Linked DNA regions of Diceros bicornis minor. The protein of the gene in region 2 purifies or fractionates together with the protein of the main gene of each other region. This does not show direct contact. Links are inferred from orthologs where the notes say so. Each region holds a gene or a part of one and is shown on either strand. Other genes may lie near its edges. The genes, in order: KDM3A and TCEAL1.

Region 1 (11,665 bases), on a different chromosome or scaffold from region 2:
AGTTATAACCATAACGAGATAAGTCCTGACATTGGTGCTAAGTGCCATTTTGTATTTTTCCCCTTATGTTCTCTGTATTGTATAACTCTCTCCCCAAATCATTGAGCTGTTCTTAAAAATGAAAAAGAAAAACAGCTTGATGTTGTATACACATTTTCTTTTTCTTGATCAAATTGCCCACATGGAAACATGTAATGCAACTGAGTGGAATATATATCCAAGTCTTGGCTTAGTGTTATCAATGGGCAGAATTGCACAATGAACATTATCAGATTATTCCTTTTATTGGTCCTTATGCCATCTAAATTACTGAATAAATTGTTAATCCATTTTAAAAAGTTCATTACACTGAAGGGAAATTATATTGGATAGGAATATGGCTTTGCAGGAAGGAATGAAGAATAGCAGAAAGAGTTTAAATGTTGAAAAATATAAAGGCAGAGCAAATAAAACAGAAATCAAAGACTAAGATAGTAGACTTAAACATATTCATAATTATATTATTCATAATAGCCAAGGACTGAAAATAGTTCAGGCATCCATTAATGGAGCATGGATATACAAACTATGGCATATTCAGACAATGAAATACTACCTAGCAATGAAAGGGAATAAACATCTTACAGATGTAATCACATGGATGAATCTCGAAAACATGCTCAGTAAAGGAAGCTAGACACAAGAGAAGTACATACTGTATTACGTCATTTAAATAAAATTCAAGAACAGGCAAAACCAATTTATGGTGATAGAAATCACCATAAAAGGTTACTCTGGGCAGGGGTAACTACTAGAAAAAAGCACTTAAGAACATTTAGGGGTGATGGAATGTTCTCTATCAGGGTTTGACAAACCTTTTCTGTAAGGGGAGGGAGAGTAAATATTTTAGCCCTCAAGGGTCCCACAGTCTCTTCAACTACTCAACTTTACCATTGTAGTGTGAAATTAGCCCTAGATAAAACATAAACAAATGGGTGTGGCTGTGTTCTAATTTTATTTATAGACACTGAAATTTGAATTTTGTATAATTTTTATGGTCACAAAGTATTATTATTATTCTAGAGGTTTTTTTTTAACATTAAAAAATGTAGGGGCTGGCCCGCTGGCAGAGCAGTTAAGTTCACGCGTTCTGCTTTAGCAGCCCTGGGTTTGCCCATTAGGATCCTGGGCATGGACCTACTCACCACTCATCAAACCATGCTGAGGCAGTGTCCCACGCTGAAAAACTCGAAGCACCTACAACTAGGATATACAACTATGTACTGGGGCTTTAGGGAGAAAAAAGAAAAGAGAAAGACTGGCAACAGATGTTAGCGCAGGGCCAACCTTCCTCAAAAAAAAAAAAAAAAAAAGATGCTGCTTGCAGAGTGGCATCCACTCCTCTAAAAAAAAAAAAAAAAAGTAAAAACCATTCTTCACAGGCTGTAGAAAATTAGCCAGTGGGCCAGATTTGGCCTGTGGGCCGTAGTTGGCTGACCCTTCTTCTATATCTTGATAGGGTTGCGGGTTATATGGATGTATGCCTTTGTAAAGCTCATGAAACTGTTCATGTAAGATCTGTGCATTTCTCTGGATGTAAATTATTCCTCAACAGAAAAAGTCTTAAAAAAAAAAACAGGCAAGAAGCTTAGCACTGATGCTCTGCTTGCCTCATTAATTGTCACAGGTGCACTGCATTAACAGAAATAGCACAAGACATTTAAATTTTCACACATAACACCATTCTTGTGTTGTTTAATGAAAGCAGTTTTAGACAGAAAATATTGTATTCTAATTATTTTGCAGTTGAGGAATCAAGATCCAAACAGATTCCAAATTTCTAGTTGCTAACTTTCTTAAACGTTTTTGGGAACTTCTGTTGTTCCTTGAGGGGGACAACTCAAGTCAACTCAGCTAGTTAGTGGCAGGATTTTGACTGGAATGTGTATGCTGGGGCTTACGTAATAGTTTTTACTAACGAGAGGTGATTTCTGGCAAAACCTCCAAGCTAAAATATATTGGTTGGAAGTGTTGATATATTGCTGCTCAGTCCTTCAATTGCCTTGACCTCAATGTCTCCTTTGGCCTCTCTGAATGGTCCTCCAAGTTGAAATTCTCTCCTGCCTTGTTTCCAGGATGCAATCCTCCTAGTTCTCCTCCTGCTTCTAAGACCTTTCTTGGTCTTTTCAGTGTCCTTTGACAGTTCCTGCACGAATGCTCTCCTCACCCTCCTCGAGCACTGACATCCCATGCCAAACCACGCTCCTGCATGAACACTCTCCTCACCCTCCTCAGGCTCAGATACACTGTGCCAGGCTTTTCCCCCACGTGAGCAGTCTCTTCCTCCTGTCTGGACTTGAACATACCACACTAGGCTGCCTCCATTCACAGATGCCATCCTCATCTCACAGGGGATCTAGATATCCCATGCTGGGTTGGCTTTCTGTGTCAACAGAAGGCCACTTGGTCTTTAACTCCCCATGCAAGGCCACTACTCCTTACTTTTTTGAGCTCAAAAATTCCATGCCAGGCAGCCTCTGCTTATGAAAACCTACCTTGCTCTGCGCTCCTAATGGCTTTAGGACTAAAATGTTCTGGAAGAGGAAAGGAAAGAGGAGGAAGGAAAAGGGAAGGAATCTTAAAATATTTTACTAGATTTTTATATTTAGCTCTTTGATCCACCTGGAACCTATTTTTGTGAATATTGATGTAGGGATTTGACTTTGTTATTTTTTCTTAATGGATAACCAATAGACCACAAAGCATATATTGAATAGTTTATTATCTACACTCATTTGAAATGGTGCATTAATCATAAACTAATTTTTCATATATACGTGGGTCTGTTTCTGAATTCTCTTAACTTTTTACATATTTCTATTTTGATTCTTTCATTCATTGAAACTTTAGGTTAATTTGAGGAGAAATGACATCTTTACTTTATCAAGTTGTATAAGGAGATGGAATTTTTCGAATCTTCTTTTATGCATGTCAGTAAAGCCTTATAGTTTTCTTCAAATAGGTTTTGTTTATTTCGTGTTATGTTTTTTCTTAGATATTCTGTAGTTTTCATGATCATAATGGTTTCTTTTTTTATATGTTCTAATTGATGCTTGTTACAGAATAGGAATTCTTTTGAGTTTTGTTTGTTGATCTTTTACTGCACCAACTTCTTGACTCTTGTATTAGTTCTAATAAGTTGTCATTAATGCTCTTGAGTGTTAATGTAGTAGATTCCACTTACAGGATTTTAAAACTAACTTTAAATTTCAAAAGTTACATATGAATACATTTGCCTTATAAAAATGAGAGAATTACAAATAATACTAAATCCCCTTTGACCAATTCCCCCAGTTCTAGTGAGCACCCCAAACACCACTAACCATCATTACAAGTTTTAATATATATATTTCATAGAACATATACAGCATTACTTTTGCATGTGTATTTTTTGTGTGTGTGTGTGAGGAAGATTGGCCCTGAGTTAACATCTGCCAATCCTCCTCTTTTTGCTGCGGACGACTGGCCCTGGGCTAACCTCCATACCCGTCTTCTTCCACTTGATATGGGACACTGCCACAGCATGGCTCAACAAGCGGTGTGTCAGTGCGCGCCCGGGATCTGAACCTGCAAACCCCAGGCCACCACAGCAGAGCACACGCACTCAACCGCTTGTGCCACCGGGCGGCCCCTGTGTGTGTATTTTTAAATAGTACCAAATGCCGCTTTCTTTTTCATTCAAAATATTTTGCTCAATAAACATCGCGATTAATTCAACTATTCAATATTCAAACATTCAAACTATTCTATACTGCTGGATTTAATTTGTTGGTATTTTATATAAGAATTTTACATCTATATTCACACATGTGATTGAACTATAGTTGTCCTTTCTTGTATTTTCCTGGTTCATATTTGATAACAGGGTTTTTCAAGTTTTATAAAATGCATCAGATCTCTTTCCCATCTTTCTTAAGTTCTGGAACCATTAATATAACATACAAATTAAATATTCTTTAAAGTTTGGTAGAACTTGTCCCTCATGGTTGTCTTTCAAAATAATAGTTAATTATGTAATCTAAGTTCTCCATACCCTCACTTATTTTAAAAATCTATCTGAGGTGCCTATTTCTGAGATAGATGTATTTGTATCTTCTACTCTGACTACAAACTGTCAAAATTTTTTGTAGTTCTTATAGTTTAGTCTTAGCTTAGGCTAGGCTATGTATCCAGAGTCCTAATAGTTCAAGAGTCTATATTATCTTTATGGACTTTATCCTTTATTATTATAAAATCCTTTTCTCTTTTGATGCTTTTGCTTTCAATTATGTTAATTTTGCTATATTGCATTCCTTCAATTACCATTTGATTAGTAAATCTTTTAACCCAATATTTTCAAGCTTCCTGTGTTGCTGTTGGAGTTCACTTGTGGTTAATTTATAGCCAGATTTTGTTTTTAATCCAATGTGTCTTTTCAATTTATGAGTAAAATTAACCCATTTATATTTATTGTAAATACTCATGTTTGGACTTACTCTTCTTATTTTAATTTTTCTATTTACCATACTTCTGTCTAGTTTTTCTTGTTCCTATTTCTGACTTTTGTTTGATTGGAGAGGTTCTCTTTGTTCCATTTCCCCCCTTTTTAATCGTCTGCAAATTATAAATTCAATTTAATTCTTTAGTATTTATTCTTAAAAATTTATTTAATATCACATATTCAAAACATATATTTTTAAAATCAACACCTGGAGTTAACTTGCATCTATAATCCCTTGAATAGTTTCTAAACTTTTTCTGATGCTGTTTTCACACTTGTAAAATTGGGAGCATAAATTCTTCTATCATTATCTTAAAGATTAAATGTGATGCCATGTCAACCACAAGCCTTTATAAAGTAAGAGGTCTTCAATTCCTTCATTCCATTTCTTCTTCATTCAACCAAGAAACTTCACCTCCCAAGCAATCACCTCTTATCTCCTTTGTCCTTCAAAGTTACCTCCTCTTTCATATTTCTTGCATCCTTATGGCCTTCCTCTAATCTTTCAATTTCTTTGTGTCTCAGAATATCTTCTCATCCTCCCTTTACATTAAAAAAAATCCCATTCTGCATTGTACTGTGCGGCCTCTTTTGCTCTAGATTTAATGAACGTCATTTCCCAAAGACCCCATGCCTTTCTTCATTTTTCCTTCAAAATGGCGGACTTCAGACGTTCCATGACCAACACCACGTGCGCCTGCGCCTCCCGCGGCCATTTCACCCAGCAGCCCAAGCTCCAGCCTCTGCTCCGCGAGGCGCCTGCGCACGAGCCTCCAGAGCACTGTCGCTCCTCCCTCTAGCTGAGTACGCTCGAAACCGCACGTTCCCGTCCCTTCCCTCCCCCACCGACTCTGCGCCGCTCTCACCCCTTTCCTGTGAGATTCTTCCGCCAAGTGGAAGGCCCATCTTCGGTCGACAGCCTACGCACTTGAAGAGCAATCCAATAGGCACTTCCAGCCCTGGGGTTCGCCATTCAGTCTTATCTGTGCACCACTGCAATTTTCCTCTGGGGCCTAAAGTTGATAACCAATTTCGCGGGACTTTTTTGCATACCGTGAGGCAACAAACGGAAAGAATGGCTGTGGCGGAGGGATATCTCGCTTACGCTCTGTGTACTTTAACCTAATGGGGGTCGTCCGGGAGTCGGAAGGGGGAGGGGAAAGGGAGGAGGCAGCCAAGGAATTGTTTTTTTCTCTCGCCCCGCCCTCGCCAGGCAGGCCAATGGCGATGGGCTATTTCGCCACGAGCCTCGCCCAGCTCTTCGGAATCAGCCAATGAGCGGCGGAAGCGGCTCCGAGGGGGCGGGCCCGGGAGGCTGTGCGTGTCTTGTGAGAGCTCTTGAACCAAGTCAGAGCTAGAGTCGGCTGGGCGGCTGAAAACGGCGGCCGCCGCGGGTGACTCAGGGAGGCGGGAGGCGGGGTAAGAGCGCCGCGGCCTCGGCTGAGGGGAGAGGAGGAAGAAAGGTGAAGGCGCCGAACCCGCGGCCCCGGCGCCCCCGCGTCGCGGCGCAGGCCAGGGCGAGGGGCGCCCGGGGGTCGGCAGCCGGGAAGCGGGGTGTCGGGGCGCGGCGGCGGGGCAAGTGCGGAACCGCGGGCTCGCCCCTCCCGTGGGGCCGCCCGGGGCGGGGACCCGGCCGCCTGGGACGGGCCCTCCACATCGGGCCTTTTCTTTTCCGGGGTGAGGGGCGAACACTTTAAAATCCACTGAAGCCTCAGTAATTCTCCCCTCACTCCTTCTGCGATTAGGTTTAAGGTGTTGGAAAAGCGAAACTTGGGAGAGCGAGGGTCACGCGGCGCTTGGGCCCGTGTTTGCGGTGGGGGAGGGATCGGGGGGCGGGGAGGGCGCGGGTGGAGAGCTCGGGTGCGGGGTCCTCCCTCGCACCGGCTGCCGCTTGGGGGTCTCGTCCTCGGAGCAAGGTTAGGACCCCTCCCTCCGCCCCCGCCTCCCCTGTCCTCCCTTCCCGGCCCCCTCCCACCGGCCGCCACGGTTGCATTTTGTTTTTGTGTTTTTGCAGGGAGGAGCCCTTCCTGCAGGCGTGGAAACCATGGTGCTCACGCTCGGAGAAAGTTGGCCAGTATTGGTGGGCAAGCGATTCCTCAGTCTGTCCGCATCCGACGGCAGCGACGGCGGCCACGACAGCTGGGACGTGGAGCGCGTCGCCGAGTGGCCCTGGCTCTCCGGGACCATCCGAGCCGTCTCCCACCCCGACGTTACCAAGAAGGATCTGAAGGTAAGACTGGCTCCCGGGCCTCGGCGGTCGGACGTCTGGTAGTTACCTTGGTAACGAGACAGCCAGCACCCCCCTCCCCTTTTCTGAAAAGGGCAACCAGAAAGTTGGCATCTGATCTGAAGGTGCAGAGAACTAGACCTTGAAAGTCTTTGAAATGGTTGTGTAGAACCGAGGTGTGCTTGGCCTGGAGTTGCCTGTGTTTGATAATGGGCTTAGAGTTGTTCAGACACGCTTCGTTATTGCCCGCGATGTGCCCTACTAGGGCTGTATGATTATTTCTCCGAAGGAGTATTGTTAACATGAAGTTGGACAAGTGGGTGACGTTTGGAATCATTAAGAATTGAGGACTAGCACTTGGAAGGGCTTTCAGTTGGTTTTTTTGTGTGTTCCTTTTGATTTCTGCACCCAACTTCTTAAACTTTCAGGCTTGTTAGAAATGAAGTGTGAGTGTAGAGGGAGGAGCTTAGCTCTGTTCGGCATATTAGGGTGGGTATTTGTCCGTATATGGTAGGTCGGGGCAGGAGTGGGTTCCTGGTTGTCTATGATGAGTCTATGGGTGGGTGTGGGATATGACCATATATGGAGGGATGGGGCGGAGGGAAGGGGCGAAGCTGCCCCTTATATGGTGTGTTGGAGGAATGGCTTCGAAATATTCTACTTGGGTGTTTGGGGGGAGGGAGAGAAATGGGAACAAGTGCGGCCAGTGATTTTTAATCAGAATGACACTCAGAACCTTTTTCAGTTAGATCTTTTCAAAAAGAGATGAATTCTTATTGTATTCCCTAATAGAAGTATTGGTGTGAAAGGATTGTGTGAGAACAACCAGTGAGGAAGCCATTGTACCAACAAAGACTCCTTTGTGCAAAAATAACTGAATAAAGGTCCCTAACAAAGACTTTGAAGGGATGATAACTTGAAGAAAGCTTGTCAGAATAGAAGAGATTTCCACTCTGGGTAATAGACGCGTTTCAGTGTCTTCACTTGGCCATTGTCTTTGCTTTTTCTTGAAAACTGTGCTCAAATAAGGGAAACAAGTTTTAGCGTTGGCAGTTGAATATGTGTTGATTTCTGAAACACTGTTCATTTGAATACTTTCAGGGTGACGATGCATGCCCAAACCAGTATTAGTTTGCAAAACGTTGTGGGGAAAGGATGTATGGTTATATATTTGTAAAGCTTCCAGTGTGCCTTGTCTTCATGTTGAAAAGGAGTGACTATTGAGCACTTAACCACATGCCAGGCATGCTGAGCACTTCACAGCCATGATCTTATTTAATTCTCACAGCAGTTCTTTGGGAGTAGGTACTAATGTTGCCCCATTTTATAGTCAGAAATACTGTGGCTGGGGGAGGTTAAGTATCTTTCCTAAGATCACATATCTGGGAATTGGCATAGTCTGTGTTCTAACCCAGGCAGTTTTGACTCCTGAGCCCACCCTCTTAACCATCATGCTCCCTGATCAAGGGCTGTGCCACAAAAGGACTCTTGTCATACACTGTGAGGTTTGGTTTTTCTCCTCTGTTTCACTCCTCCTAGCGAAAACTGGGTTTTGATGTTTATAGAAAGTAGTGTGGTGCAGAGATGGCCAACCTATTTCCTTTAGGCTAATAACTTTTCTCCATAAAATGGGATTTGTGTAGTAGATTTCAGTCATAGTTGTTGTGGTTTATTTCACCTGCCAACTAAAATTTTCTCTATTGTATTTGTTTTTTATCTGATTTGAATGGAAACAAGATTTGATTTAAGCTTTACAGTCTTTAGTTCTTTGGCAGATGATGAGAGACTAGATGTTCCCTTACCCAGCAGTAATTGAGGACCTCTTGAGTTGGGAAGGCAATCTAGGAGGTCATTCATGTGTATTTTTAATCTCCACATCTCCCCCACCCCCAACCTTTGGGGTGGTGGTATCTGTCTTTTCTGAATGAAGAAATAGACTTAGGAAAAGAAGTCTTGTCCAGACTTGCAGAATTACCTACTGATGAAAGGAGGATTTGAATCTAGGTTTGGCTATGTGTCTTTCCCACTGCACTAAGGTGCCTAACTTGGAGACAATGGGGAATTTTAATTCAAGAACAGTTTTGACTGTATTGGATTTTTGCTTTACCTGCGGACGTCACAATTCAGCCCTCATGTCAGGTGCAAATCTACTCAGTTTCTTTTTTCTAATCATGATTTATTGCTGCATTCCTTAGTTGAGTAGCAAAAGGAGGAATTGGCTTAAGTTTAGGGGCATGTTGTGTTAGCAAAAACATAGAATTTTAAAACACCAGAAACAAATTGTGCTTGGTGAGATGCAGATGGGAACTAAGACCACAGTCGTACACCTGGGCTTAGGGGTATTGAGGTTTTGGGGGTGGGGTGGGACTGGTAGCTGAGATGAATATGAATGAATAAAATTCAAGTAGTGTGCAGCTGTTTTAGTATTAGTAGAAGTACAAGTCTGTCTAGACTGATTTGCTTAGTTAGTTGAGGATGATGTTAATGAGGCCAAGGCTTAACTTTGTTTCACGTAGAGAAAGACTTTGTAACAAAGTCAGTTACTCAGATACAGTATGTCTAGTAGTTGATTACAAAGAAGTTAGGGTGAAGACATAATAATGATTAAATGCTTATTATGTGGCAAATATTTTCTTTAATCCTCACAAATATCCTAGATGATAAACCACATTTTTTAGTGTTAGAAATTGAGGCTTAAAGAAGTTAAATAACTTGCCCAAGTTTGTCTCTAGACCTTAAACACTAGGCTTTAACATTCAGGTAGAGTGAGGTTAGAACACTATATTTTGCTGGACTCTGTATCTCCAGCACCCAGAACACTGTTTGGCATGTAGTGCTTGCTAAAATATTTGAATGAATAAATGAAGGAATCATAAAATTATTACCTCTACACTGAAAAGCAGTTTAGAAATAATCTACCAATGGAGCAGTGGTATTCTCTTTAACTGGAATAACAACAGATCTTAATTAGGTGTGGTTATAACGACCTCTTTAACCTTATTTTTATCCTACTCTTTAAACTTGAGTGTGAGGCAAGTTGCTTCCTAACTAGCTTTGTTTGTGATGCCTGCTGGGAATGCCTTCCTTCCCCAACTTGGCTGTCGGGATCTTTCCCTTCTTTTGAACCTACCTTTTCCTTGAGTCTTCTGCCCCTTCTTAGTCCCTAGGGATGTCCTTAGCAGAAGAGTAGTACTTGCCACCTATATGTTCCATTTCCTGCTATTAAAGCCTTTTCTGGTAGTTAGGTTCCTTTACCAATGCCTAGCCTTTCATCCTTGCATACAGTTGGAACTTTGGTGAGTTGGAATGTTAGTGAATTCTGCTGCCAGTCAAACTATGTAAAATGAGAAACTCCTAGCACAATGTAATAAAAACTATTTACTCCCTATAATTGAATGGTAGACTCTGGGATTTTAGACAGCATTTTATTTAGATGTAAGAAGACATAAGTAGAAGCATAATGAATTAATTTCCTCATTTGTGGAGTAGTGAAATAAGTGGTATTCTTTGTTATAGTGCTGGGCATAGAATAGATATGTCGTTAAAAACTTCTTGACTGGAGGTTGGCCAGGTGGCGTAGTGGGTAAGTTTGCGCACTCTGCTTTGGCGGCCCAGGGTTCGCTGTTCGGATCCCCGGGTGCGGACCTACATGTTGCTTATCAAGCCATGCTGTGTGGCTTCCCATATACAAAATAGAGGAAGATGTGCACAGATGTTAGGTCAGGTACAATTTTCCTCAAGCAAGAAGAGGAAGATTGGCAACAGATGTTGGCTGGGGGCCAATCCTCCTCAACAAAAAGGGGGAAAAAAAAAACGAACTACTTGACTAAGCACCATGCTATCTGTAAGTGTTTACTTGTAAACTTAGAAACACTTTACTTGGCATTTCTGATGGTTTTCATAATCATTTACGCAGGTGAGATTAGTGTGTGCTAAGAGTGAGTAGGAGGAGGCCAGCCTGGTGGCCCAAGCGGTTAAGTGCACGCACTCCACTGCAGCTGACCTGGGGGTTCGCTGGTTCGGATCCCGGGCACGCACTGATGCACCGCTTGGCAAGCCATGCTGTGGCGGCATCCCATATAAAGTGGAGGAAGATGGGCACGGATGTTAGCCCAGGGCCAGTCTTCCTCAGCAAAAAAAAAACAGGAGGATTGGCAGATGTTAGCACAGGGCTGATCTCACAAAAAAAAAAAAAAAAAAATAGTGGGAGCTTTTGAGATTAGTTTGATTAGATATAATACTAATTCATATATCTAAAGAGATTTTCTGTTGGGGAGAAATTAGCTTGAAATAATTAATTTGAAATATCCAGCATCTGGTCAAGATATTTGATAGGCTAATAAGGTATACATTTACAAGATGCCCTATTAAAAGAATAGCAAATTTGGAAATTATAGGTAGTGAATCATACTTAATAGGCCTCTCTTTGGCCTTTGGAGTCAGACAGCATAAATAGCATTTCCTTTGTGGACCATGGGAGCATGTGGGAAAGAACACAATTTGGAATGAGAACTACAGTTATGTGTCACTTAACAACAGGAATACACTCTGAGAAATGCATTGTTAGGCGATTTCGCCCTTGGGCAAACATCATAGAGTGTACTTACACAAACCTGGATAGTATAGCCTACTACACACCTAGGCTATAATGTATTAATCTTATGGGACCACCATCGTATATGCGGTACGTCGTTGACTGAAATGTCTTTTATGCAGCACATAACTGTGGTTATATCTATCAGCTTCTAGGAGCTTGGTCAAGTCACTTTAGTTTCCCCTGAATTTTAATTCTTATTGGTATGTCTTTGTATAGAAGTTTCTGCAGAAGAGGTTTTTTTGGGGGAGAGGGGTGTCCTTGTATATAGAACCTCAGATTTCAAGTTACAATTGAAAGACATATGTGATTTTGATAGGAAACT
Region 2 (11,882 bases):
CAACATCCATGCCCATCTTCCTCTACTTTATATGGGACGCCGCCACAGTATGGCTTGATAAGCGGTGTGTAGGTCCGAGCCCGGGATCTGAACCCGAGAACCCTCGGCCACTGAAGCAGAGCATGCAAACTTAATCACTACACCACAGGGCCAGCCCCAAAATAATACCAATTTTAAACAAACTCTTTGAGAAAGTAGAGGAAGAAGTCTCCTCTCTATATATTGAGACCAGAATTACCTTGATACTAAAACAAAGACATTACAAAAACAAAACTAAGACTAATATACCTCATGAACTTAAAAGCAAAAATTCTTTAAAATTTTTTGGGAAATTGAATCCTGCTATATATAAGAGTATAATGAATACATCATGACCAAGTGAGGTTTATCCCAGGAATGCAAAATTGGTTGAGCATTCAAAAGTCAATGTAATTCAACATGTTAACATAATAAAAGAGAGAAATTATGCCCATCTCAATAGATTAAAAAAGGCATTTGAGGGCCGGCCCGGTGGTGTAGTGGTTAAGTTCACGTGCTCCACTTCGGAGGTCCGGAGTTCACAGGTTGGGATCCCAGGAGCAGACATATGCAATGCTCATCAAGCCATGCTGTGGTGGCATCCCATATGCGAAGTGGAGGAAGACTGGTGCAGATGTTGGCTCAGGGCCAATCTTCCTCCCCCCTCCCCCACAAAAAGGGCATTTGATAAAAGACAATACTCATTTATGATAAAATCTCTCAGGAAACTATGAATAGAAAGGAAATTCCTCAGCTTGAAATAGGGCATCTGTGAAAAAACTACAGTTGTCATCATACTTAGTATTGAAAGACTGAATATTTTCCTCCTATGATGGGGAACAATGCAAGGATGTCTGTTCTCACCACTGCTATTCAACAATGTACCGAGAATCCTAGTTCGTGCGATAAGGCAAGGAAAAAAAGGCATGTAGATAGGAAAAGAAGTAAAATTGTCTGTATTTGCAGGAATATCACGTGCATGTACCTAGAATGCCCTAAGAATCTATAAAAAGTTATTAGAACTAATAAGTGAATTTAGCATGGTCTCAGGATAAAAGGTCAATATACAAAAATCAAGTATATATCTTATGTGCTAGAAATAATTAGAAAATTAAAAATTTTAAATACCATTTGCAATGGCATCAAAAAGCATGAAGTAATTAGGGATAAATTTTATGTAACACATAAAGACTCGTACAGTGAAAACTATAATATATTGCTGAGAGTAATTATGGAAGATCTAAAAAAATTATGATGTATACATGTTCACATATCAGAAGACTCAAGATTATCAAAATGGCAATTCTCCCCAGTTTGATCTGTATATTCAGTATAATTTCAATTAAGATCCTACCTGGCTTTCTGTGTAAAAATCGACAAGCTGATTCTAAAATTTATAAGGAAATGCACAGGATCTGTAGCAGTCAAAACAATCCTGAAAAAGAGCAGTATTGGAGGACTGACAATACCTGACTTTGAGCCTTCCTGTAAAGCTGCAGTAATCAAGACAGCACGGTATTTGCAAAAGGACAGGAAAGGAGATATGCCACGTGTGTCTGCCATTCTTGCTGCACCATTTGCATATTGCATTCCCCATGCCCCATGAGCACAAAATTCCAGTGGACCCTTGATGCATGGGAGTTCAGCAAGACTCAAAGCAAGTAAATGGTAAGCATATTACTTCTGTGACTGAAGACAGCCAGGAGAGGCCACCCATTTGGTTCTATTCAGAACTTACTTCCAACACAGAATCACATTCTAAGAAACACAAGGGACAAAGAAACCCAATCATATCCTTTCTTACATGTGTTACTTCCTTGTGTTTGCCAACCACTTGTGTTGAAAATGATGACAAAGAAGGAAAGGGAAAGATAGAGCAACGCACAGTTCCCGTTCCTTTCAGTCCCTCTGTAAAATGGGCACATTTGCAAGTATCAAGAAGTCAAATACAAACAGCTGAGTTGGTTTTGTGTAGCATTTCCACTGTTCTGGTAAGAAGTAAACACATATGCACGTATGAGCTACAAAATATGAATTGTGCAATTTTGGTGATTCTGCATATGAGTCAAATGCTCTTGTATTTGCATTTAAAATGGCATTGTACAATATAAAGATGAACTATATAATTATGCTAATAATTTAAAATTTTAATTTTCCTCTACTTAGAACAAAATTAAATAACAAATAAAAAGCACCATGTCAAAGTCAACATCAATGGTCATAAATCATATTGATAACACGTAGCCTTGATATGATGTGTTGAAATGGCACTTTACCTCTGTGCTATTCCTCCCAAAAACCCATAACCCCAGGCTAACCAAGAGAAAAATACCAAACAAATCCCAATAGATGGGCATTCTACAAATACCTAACTAGTACTCAGAATTGTAAAGGTCATCAAAATCAGAGAAAGTCTGAGAAACTGTCACAGCCAAGAGGACCCTAAGGAGACATGACAACTAAAAGTAATGTGGTATTCTAGATGGGATCCAGGAGTAGAAAAAGGGCATTAGGTAAAGACAAAAGAAATTGGAATAAAATATAGACTTTAGTTAATGACAATGTATCAATATTGGTTCACTAATTATAACAAATACACCATACTAATGTAAGATGCTACTAGGTATGGAGTACATGAGAATTCTCTATAGTATCTTCTCAATTTCTCTAAACTAAATCTAAAACTGTTCTAAAAAATAAAGTCTATTAAAAAAAATAAGTTGAAAGACCACAGGAGAAAGAAAAGCTTTATATTTTAGTACTTTTAATGGCACTTTTTTTCTTGCTTTGTGAACAAGGGGCCTTGCATTGTCATTTTACACTGGGTCCTGCAAATTATGTAGCCTACCCTGCCTCTGTTCCAACCTCTGTCACCCAGACCTCAGACTGGGGTTGTTGTGGGCCCTTGTGAGAGTCCCTGAGGCCAAGAGTAAGGCTGTGAGTGTTGCAGCCCAGCAGGGAAGACCAGCACAGGTTCTGTGCTCTGGGCTCCTCTGGATTCCGGAAAAAGCAGCAGCAGCCACTGTCAGGAGAGGTCCCCACTCAGGCCAAACGGTGTTCCTCAGAGAAGCCCCTGTGAGCTGGGCAGCGTGGAGTCATAGCACCCTAGAGTTGGAGGGGACCTCATTCATTGCTCTTCCACTGCCCCTCCCCCCACCTTTTAGGGAGAAGAAGAAGGACACAAACAGAGGCAAGGAGAGGGGTAGAAGGCTCCCAGGCCTCCAGAGCCCTCCAGCGAGTGAGTGACAGCCTGAGTCCTGCCTAGCCCAGAGCCTGGGACTCTCTCCCTCTGGGCCAATGTTGGACCTGCCTTTCCTGTCCCTGAGTGTTTCCTAGCAGCCTGAGTTTCTACTCTACCTTTCCTCAGAGCCCCTTCCTTGTTTCTCTGGGCATGTACAGGATGTGTGTGTGTGTGTGTGTGTGTGTGTGTGTGTGTGTGTGTGTCTAGACCCAGTTAGTGTGAGGCCAGAAGCAGCAAAGAGAAGGCTCTTATCATTGCATTTCCCACTTGGCTATTTCCCCTGGGGTGGGGGCGGGGGAGCGGGAGAGGAGAGCCTGAGAGCCACAGGCTGGACAGGGCCTGCTGCAGCGCACAGCAGCAAGTCTTGAGACCAAAGTACTGCCATAGGTGTCATTAGGAAAGAATGCAGAGGCTGCAGAAGCAGCAGGGGAACCTCTGGGCTGGAGAGGGCAGACAGGCTCTGCAAAATGAAACCAGACCTCTATGGGGTCTGTGCTGTAGAGGGGCTCACAGGGAGGGGGCTCTGTTCTGCCACAGAAGTGCAGCCTCACGAGGGAACAGGAATCTCTGAACCAGAAACCCATCCTGGGCTTCCTCAGATCCCCCAGAGAAAGGCCTCGCCCCTGGAGGCTGTTGTCATAGCAGCAGCTGCCAGGGGCTGACTGCCTTCCCCCTTGCCCGCCTGGCTGCCCTGCCTGCCTTCTGATACTTTCAGCTCCCGCTACCTGAAAAGGCCTGTGCCGCACACCCCGGCTGCGTGTAAAGGTGTCTGGAGCCCACTGCCCAGGAGCAGTTTAACAAAGTGGTTTAAGGTTCAATCATTCATGTCCTACTGCCAGGGTTTAAATCCCATCTGGGCTACTTACTATCATCTGTTTCCATGGCAATAATTTGTCACCTCTCAGAGCCTTAGTTATCGCACCTTTAAAATGGAGTTCCTTAGGGCCGGCCCCGTGGCTTAGCGGTTAAGTGCGCGCACCGCTACTGGCGGCCCGGGTTCGGATCCTGGGCGCGCACCCACGCACCGCTTCTCCGGCCATGCTGAGGCCGCGTCCCGCATACAGCAACTAGAAGGATGTACAACTATGAATACAGCTGTCTACTGGGACTTTGGGGGAAAAAAAGGAGGAGGATTGGCAACAGATGTTAGCTCAGAGCCGGTCTTCCTCAGCAAAAAGAGGAGGATTAGCACAGATGTTAGCTCAGGGCTGATCTTCCTCACACGCACACACACACACACAAAAATGGAGTTCCTTAGACTTAAACTCTCACTAGCACTAGTGAGCCAAGCACCATTTAGGTCTTCACAGGACCCTAAATCAGCAGTATCAAATCATATCTATCAGAATTATTTCACGGCCCCCACCCAGAGCACACAGAGACAAATAGCAGACCACATTCCTTTGTAACATGGTGGTCACCATGGCAGAACCACCTTCACCTTATTCCTTCTTGAGAGCCCTTTCTTTCAAGGGAACCCCAAATCAAGGCAGAGACTTAGAGCCAATATGAAGACACAGTCTTCATTCCTCCTTTCCCGGTTCTAATCCTTAAATCTCCCTTGTCTGCCCCCCCAGTTTACCAAGTTCTCATCAAGGGTTAATTCATACTGGTTTGGCAGCTTTCAGGGGCAACTGTGTCTTCTATCAGCAGCACTAGAAAGTAATCCCACCCTCAGAAGTCCTACTGAGAGTGGAAAGGAGGAGAACTGGCCTGACAGGGCACACTCCCGGCTGGCACACCCAACAGGGAAAAGGAATTTTTTCATTTGGAGTCAGAGCTCTTTGCTGAGATCTCCTTTAGATCTTTCCTGAGTTTGCTGAATTTATTATCGTATTTAGTACTAATGGCGTGCTTTAAATTAATATTTTGTAGCTCATGTCCTGAATGACAGAATGAGGATTCAAAGAATGAGGGAATGAATCGAACAGGACAACATTTAATCCAGAAAAACAGAAGCTTCTGTACTTGTTTAAAATTAAAAAGATTTACACAAGTGCATTAACAGGGATGTATGAAAGAGATCTGGGGGTCTCAGTTGACTTCAACTTAAAGTGTGATATGGCATCCACAAAATCTAGTATGATCTTAGGATGCATCTATAGATGTATAGTGGCTATTCTAGAATGAGGGCTGTGATAAGATCACTCCATTCTACACTAGGCAGAATATTCAGTATTTTCAGAGACATTTACAAATTCAGAAGCATGTAGGATGGTGAGTGACTTTGAAAAAATATATCACCTCAGAAAGAGCTGAAATAACTGGGGAGATTAAACCTAAAAAAAAGTCTTGGTGAGAACATAATTGTTTAAGGATTAAATGAGATAGCATATTGAAAGTGCTTAGTGCAATGCCTGGCATAAGTACTCAATTAATGTTAATAACAAAAGAATGATAATTAGTAGTACTATTAGCACTAAGTCATTCTATTATTATTATTACTATTACTATAATTATAGTTAATGCTTATAGAGTGCTTTCTATGTGCTAGGCACTATTCCAGGTCCTTTACATATACTGACTTATTTATCCCTCTTACCAATCCTATGAGGGAGGTATTACTATATCTCCAATTTTGCAGATGAGGAAGTTGAGTCACAGAAAGGTCAAGTAGATTTCCCAGTGTGTCTCACAGATGGGAAGGGGAAAGAACCAGAACATTAACTCTGGCAGTGTCAGGCTATCAAGGGTAAAAGGCACTTTTGTTATAAAATACTTGTTTTGTACGACTCCAGAGGGCAGAACCAGGACCAATGTGTGTGAACTACTTGGAGGCAGATTTCAGCTCAACAAAAGAAAAAAACACTCTGAATGATTAGAACTGTCTGAAATTTCAATGAGATGTCTTTTAAGGTAGTGAGTTCTTCATCCCAGGATGTAAGGGAAAAAAGGATAGAAATGAATGAAATGGGGCTCCTCCTGGAAAGAAACCACACAAATGATGAAGCTAACCATCGGTGAAAAGGATAAAGAAGGTATAGTGAAACTTGGTTTAAAAGACACATCACTGAAAAATTGAAAAGTAAAACAGTTGTGGAAACGATATAAAAGTGAACTAATATCTGTCTTGCTGCTATCTCAACACAAAGTAAATTAGACGGAGAGAAGCGACACAAAGCTCTTAAAACAGGAAATTTCACACATGAATTTCTGTTTGGAAACTTACTAGACAGCTCGGGTTTGAAAAAAACAATCCCAGGATCCTCACAGATCTGATGGCCACCTACCCTGAAAGTGTAAACTACAGAGAGGTATAGTCTGATTTCTGGAGGAAAGGGCATCTACATGAGGAAGTAGCACCCAAGCTGATGCGAGTAGGTGAGAGGCATGCATGAGGCTGAAGATCATAAAACACCATTAGATCCAAAAATATATACTTGTAATGACAATTGAGTATGTGAGCATGATTTTAATCCTGCTACTCAGTGTGTGATTAACAGAATTATTGCATAGTTTAATAGGAATGTCCTCTGTGGTGAATCTATCTTTTTGCGTCCAGCAGTCCCAGGACCCAAATATTTGCTGATTTAATGAACTAATATAAACTTTCTCAACCAGCAACACCAGAGGTGGCTGGTTAAGGATTTAGAGTTCCAGCAAAATCTCTTTCTTCTATTACCAATAATAACTACTGAATATATGTATATACATACATATACACACACATAATAGTATGTATGTATATATGTGTATATATATACATAAATATATAATAATGCCACACTCTCCACTAAATATGCTCCCATTTCAGGTAAGTTTTCAGACTATTTGTACTTAGATGGACAAATGTGTATTTTGATTTATGAAAATCAAAGTGTTCAATCTTTTTAGATTTATATACTTTACAAACAACTTTTTCTAGAGTTCTAGAATTGAATGATTACCAACTTAGAATGGAGCTTCTATTCGTAATATAGGTCTGAAGGCTCAAAAAAAAAATAAAATCCTGAAGTCATGGAAAAGTGAAAGCTTATCTTTCATCAAAGTGACAAGAGATGAAAACCATGTTGATCGAGCCTAAGTGGACATGATGGAGTTATGAATGTGGATTAAAACTGGGAGAGGTGGTATATGATATTGATTCATTAATGAGAAATAGTCGAATTTCAGTGGAGGATCTGGACTGTAGAGGAAATAATGGGCCTTAGTGGCTGATGACAGGAGAATAAGGGAGAGGGTATCAGGCAAAGCGGCAGAGAGGAAGAGGCAATAAACCCCAAGACTAGACGCTGATCGTCTCTGGTAACCAGGAAAAGGCAAATATAAACAAAGAGAGGTGAGTGACGGTGCTTGGTGTGTTGGGGGTCAGGAAATACTGTCAGGTTGCTGCAGCACGGCCGCCGGTCAAAGCGGTAACTGGGGATCTGAGCTCGGCGGTGACGCGCGGCCCTCACGTGACCAGGAGCCTGTGTCTGCCCAAGTCTCTCTCGTCCTGGTCCTTTTTGCCTGTCCAGACAGCGTCTGCCTATTGCCCTTTGGTCGAGGGGAAAAGCACAACGAAGTAAGTCCCCTTGGTCCTCTTAAATCGGTGTGAGTGTCGGTGCCGCCCCGTAAACCCTGGAATCGGGATGGCAGCGTCCAGGCCTTTCCCTATGCCCAGCCCCGCCCCCCGCGCCCACAGTTCGGTGCAAAAAATGGTGGTTTAGAGGTGGGGTAGGGAGGTGAGTGAGCCCCCCCTCCCCGGGAGGGAGACACAGACACTTAGAAATAGTTTCTAAGCCATCTTTCGCTTCCACTTCCCGCCTGAAAAGAAATGACGAGCATTGCGGGGTGGAGGGGTAGGGGCACGGAGGACCAAGCTTGAGATGGGGCATCGGGGGGAGGGGAACTAGAAAGGGGCTGGCGTGGGGGCGGCGGCTGGTGCCCAGAAAAAGGGCGTGTGTGTCAGTCAGTCTTTCCCTCTTCTCCACTCCCCGCCCCCTACCCTGTCTTGCGTCTGTCTGCAGGTCTGCAGGTCGCAGCGGGGCACCTCGAGAGGACGCCTGGGAACAAACGGCCAGGAGAGGTCCAGGTCGGGGAAGGGGTGGGCAGTGGGCTAGGATGGAGTGAGAGGGAGGACGCTGATGGGCGCGGAGTCCGCGGCACCACCGCCCCGCCCCTGCCACTGCGGGAGAGGCCTGTGGCAAGGCTTGCTGGGAAAATGGTGGGCTTTCGGAAAGGAGGGGGCGACAAGGGCGGGGGGACGAGACGCGGCGGGGTCCCCAGGGCCAGAAAGCCTCTCAGCAAGCGTAGGTTGGAGGACCTGGGCCCCGAATCTGGAAAAGGCAGGTTATTGGAACCCATGGCCCGGGTTTTGGTCCAGCCATCAAGTATTCTGACTCGACTCTGCCTTTCTTGTCTCCTATGAATAACTGTGCTTAAAAAAGACGATTCTCAACATGGAAAAATCCTGCAAAGAGAATGAAGAACAGCCACAGAGCGCGCCCAAGGCAGATGAGGAGCGGCCTCCTGTGGAGCACTCTCCTGAAAAGCACTCCCCGGAGGAACCCTCTTCGGAGGAGCAATCCTCGGAGGAGGAGTTTTTTCCCGAGGAACTCCTTCCTGAGCTCCTTCCTGAGATGCTCGTGTCCGAGGAGCGCCCTCCGCAGGAGGGCCTGTCTAGGAAGGACCTTTTTGAGGAGCGCCCTCCCATGGAGCAGCCTCCTTGTGGAGTGGGAAAACATAAGCTAGAAGAAGGAAGCTTTAAAGAAAGGCTGGCTCGCTCTCGCCCGCAATTTAGAGGAGACATACATGGCAGAAATTTAAGCAACGAGGAGATGATAAAGGTAGCAGAGGAGATGGAAGAGATGAAAAGAGTACGCAACAAATTGATGATCATGCACTGGAAGGCAAGACGGAACCGTCCTTATCCCATTTAATGTGTTCAGCGTTTAATTCTGTTTTGCCTGATATAAGTATTGCCACCTGAACTTTGCATTTTTCTCATATACCTTTCCCCATCTTCTTAATTTTAACTTTTTATGTGGCTTTATTTTAGGTGTTTCGCTTGTAACTGGCATAAAATTGGGTTGCCCCCCCCAATGTGCAAGTCCCTCTCTTTCAGTCCTGAGTCTCACCCATTTGCATGAAAAGATGTACATTATATATTGTGAAGTGAAAAAAAGCAATTTTCAAGAAGTATATGTAGTATCCCAGTTTTGTAAAAAAAATGTATATTTATATATTAATATGCAAAGAAAAAACTGAAAGTATATACTTCAAAGGCTTAACAGTGACTGTGTGGTAAGATAATAGGTGATTTTTTTGGTTTTCCATTTTTGCTTTATAGGAATTTCTCATTTTTTCAACACGAACACATTTTACTTGTGTTGCAAAAAAATCCCAATATAATGAAAAATTGTAAAACAATTTAAAAAACTGTCAATCAGCTTATAAAGACAATGTGGCACTTAATAAATACTTGTCAGAACTTAAAAAAAGAAAAGTAAATCCCATGTTTCTTCTGAATCTCTTATGCCGAAATATAAACCAGGTACTTATATTTGTTTAAAGGTCATTCTTTTCCCGTTTACATAGGAATAATACTTGGCTTACAAGGCTGCTGTGGAACCAAATGAGGTAAAGATTGCATGAGCTGTGTGTTTCTTTCCCCCACCCGCACATGCAGGACCCCAGCCCCTATAGATTCCCTTCAAATACACAGAGTAGTACCCAAAGGAGATCTCACTTGTGCTCACAAATAATTCCTGTGAGATTCCAGGTGAGTGCCACATTCTATTTCTGTCCTCCTATTCTCTTCCCTTGGATACAATCATGTCTGCTGGGCACAGCTGTTCCTTCTCCTGGGTTCTGCTCCTTCCGTGGTCCAAAGTGCCAGCGCAAAGCCTCACTGATTGCTCTGGAGTCCCTGCCGGGCCAAAGCTGAACTGTGTCTCCTACTGATATATGGAGAATGCACCTTCTCCAGCTTTAATATTAACACTTCTCCAGGTGGATGCCATCCCAGTGTTCCTTAAACCTCCATGTCTTAAAGAATTCTTAGCAAAATAGTCCTTCCCATTTTTTTTTTCTGAAAGCTTCCCTTTTCTCCACTGGAATCAAACATAAGTTCACTGGGTCCTGGGCTAGAAGAGAAATTGGTGAGCCAGACACAATGCTGTGTACTCAGAATTGGAATCTCCCTCCCAAATAATCTCCAAGGGTTTTTGTTGTCTAACACTTGCCGTAGGATGAGTTCCCTCCCAGGGGCCTCTGGCAGGCTTGCCTTACCAGTTCAGCTGATTTGCTCAATTTGTATAAATTAAAGAGGAAAGTAAGACTTAGGCTCAAGCTAGGACATTTCCCTTCTGCCCCACCCCACATCAACAAGAAACATGCAAAAATACTTCGTAAGACATTAAAGTACTTAAAGTCATTAAAGTATATGTATATGCATATACATATATATGTGTGTATGTGTATCAGATGTTATGATTTCTCTTTCTCTATCCTTATAAAACCTAAGATTTTGTTTTATTGATCCTGTTTATTGATTTTTTTATTGATCTGGTTAATTCTAGAAACACAAATAGTTGTTAACAATTTTTTAAAATTATGACCCAGTCATAAACCCTGAGTTTCTGTTTGATTGGCTATGTAAACTTCAGTAAGTGTGTTCACTTCTCTAGAAAGTATGATTTGCAATTCCAAAAGGATCACAGTCAGGGGAGGGATTGTTTCTCCAAATTCAACATTAAAATTATTTAAATATTTTATATATCAATGTTTCTCTTATCAAATATGCAGAGACCTGGGTGCTACCCCAGACCTACTAAATCTGCTTTTCTGTAAATTAGGACACAAGTTAGACAGCCACTGCTATATACAATGTACTCTTGGTTTTATTTTATTTATTTATTTATTTATTTATTTTTGTGAGGAAGATCAGCCCTGAGCTAACATCCATGCTAATCCTCCTCTTTTTGCTGAGGAAGACTGGCCCTGGGCTAACATCTATTGCCAATCCTCCTCCTTTTTTTTTTTTTTTTTCCCCCAAAGCCCCAGTAGATAGTTGTATGTCATAGTTGCACATCCTTCTAGTTGCTGTATGTGGGACGTGGCCTCAGCGTGGTGGGAGAAGCGGTGCGTTGGTGCACGCCCGGGATCCGAACCCGGGCCACCAGTAGCGGAGCATGCACACTTAACCGCTAAGCCATGGGGCCGGCCCAACTCTTGGTTTTAGTAAGAATAAACTGTGACATAAATAGAAGAAAATATAGATGAGTGTATCAGAATTAAAAGGGTGAAAGCCTTTTCCAAGCATATGTTTTGTGTGTGAGTGAGGAAGATTAGCAATGAGCTAACATTTGTTGCCAATCCTCCTCTTTTTGTTGAGGAAGATTAGCCCTGGGCTAGCATCCGCGCCATCTTCCTCTACTTTATATGTGGGACGCCTGCCACAGCATGGCTTGATAAACAGTGCGTAGGTCCATGCCCGGGGTTCTGAACCTGCAAAACCCAGGCTGCTGAAGCGGAGCGGGCGATCTTAACGACTATGACACCAGACCGCCTCCCCAAGCATATTTTTAAGTAAGAAATTAAAAACAAACTCTTCAATTTTACTACATAAAATTTAGATTTTTTGCAACAAGGCAAGACCATACACAGAATAAAAGGCTAAGAGAGATGACAAAATAGCAAG

The links.
Region 1: the proteins of TCEAL1 (region 2) and KDM3A purify together in Homo sapiens (affinity purification with mass spectrometry; 3 studies listed by BioGRID and IntAct, counting the BioPlex papers as one, with this or other methods). This does not show direct contact. The link is inferred for Diceros bicornis minor from reciprocal best matches to the Homo sapiens genes TCEAL1 and KDM3A.

The regions. Positions count from the first base shown.
Region 1 is NC_080751.1:3,629,154-3,640,818, reverse strand, and holds the start of KDM3A (lysine-specific demethylase 3A), read left to right. Parts: upstream 1-5,866; 5' UTR 5,867-5,938; exon of another isoform or gene 5,939-6,036; intron 6,037-6,172; exon of another isoform or gene 6,173-6,196; intron 6,197-6,533; 5' UTR 6,534-6,563; coding exon 6,564-6,749; intron 6,750-11,665. UniProt on the Homo sapiens protein: Histone demethylase that specifically demethylates 'Lys-9' of histone H3, thereby playing a central role in histone code.
Region 2 is NC_080781.1:96,661,751-96,673,632, forward strand, and holds TCEAL1 (transcription elongation factor A protein-like 1), read left to right. Parts: upstream 1-7,586; 5' UTR 7,587-7,763; intron 7,764-8,208; 5' UTR 8,209-8,273; intron 8,274-8,628; 5' UTR 8,629-8,640; coding exon 8,641-9,120; 3' UTR 9,121-9,747; downstream 9,748-11,882.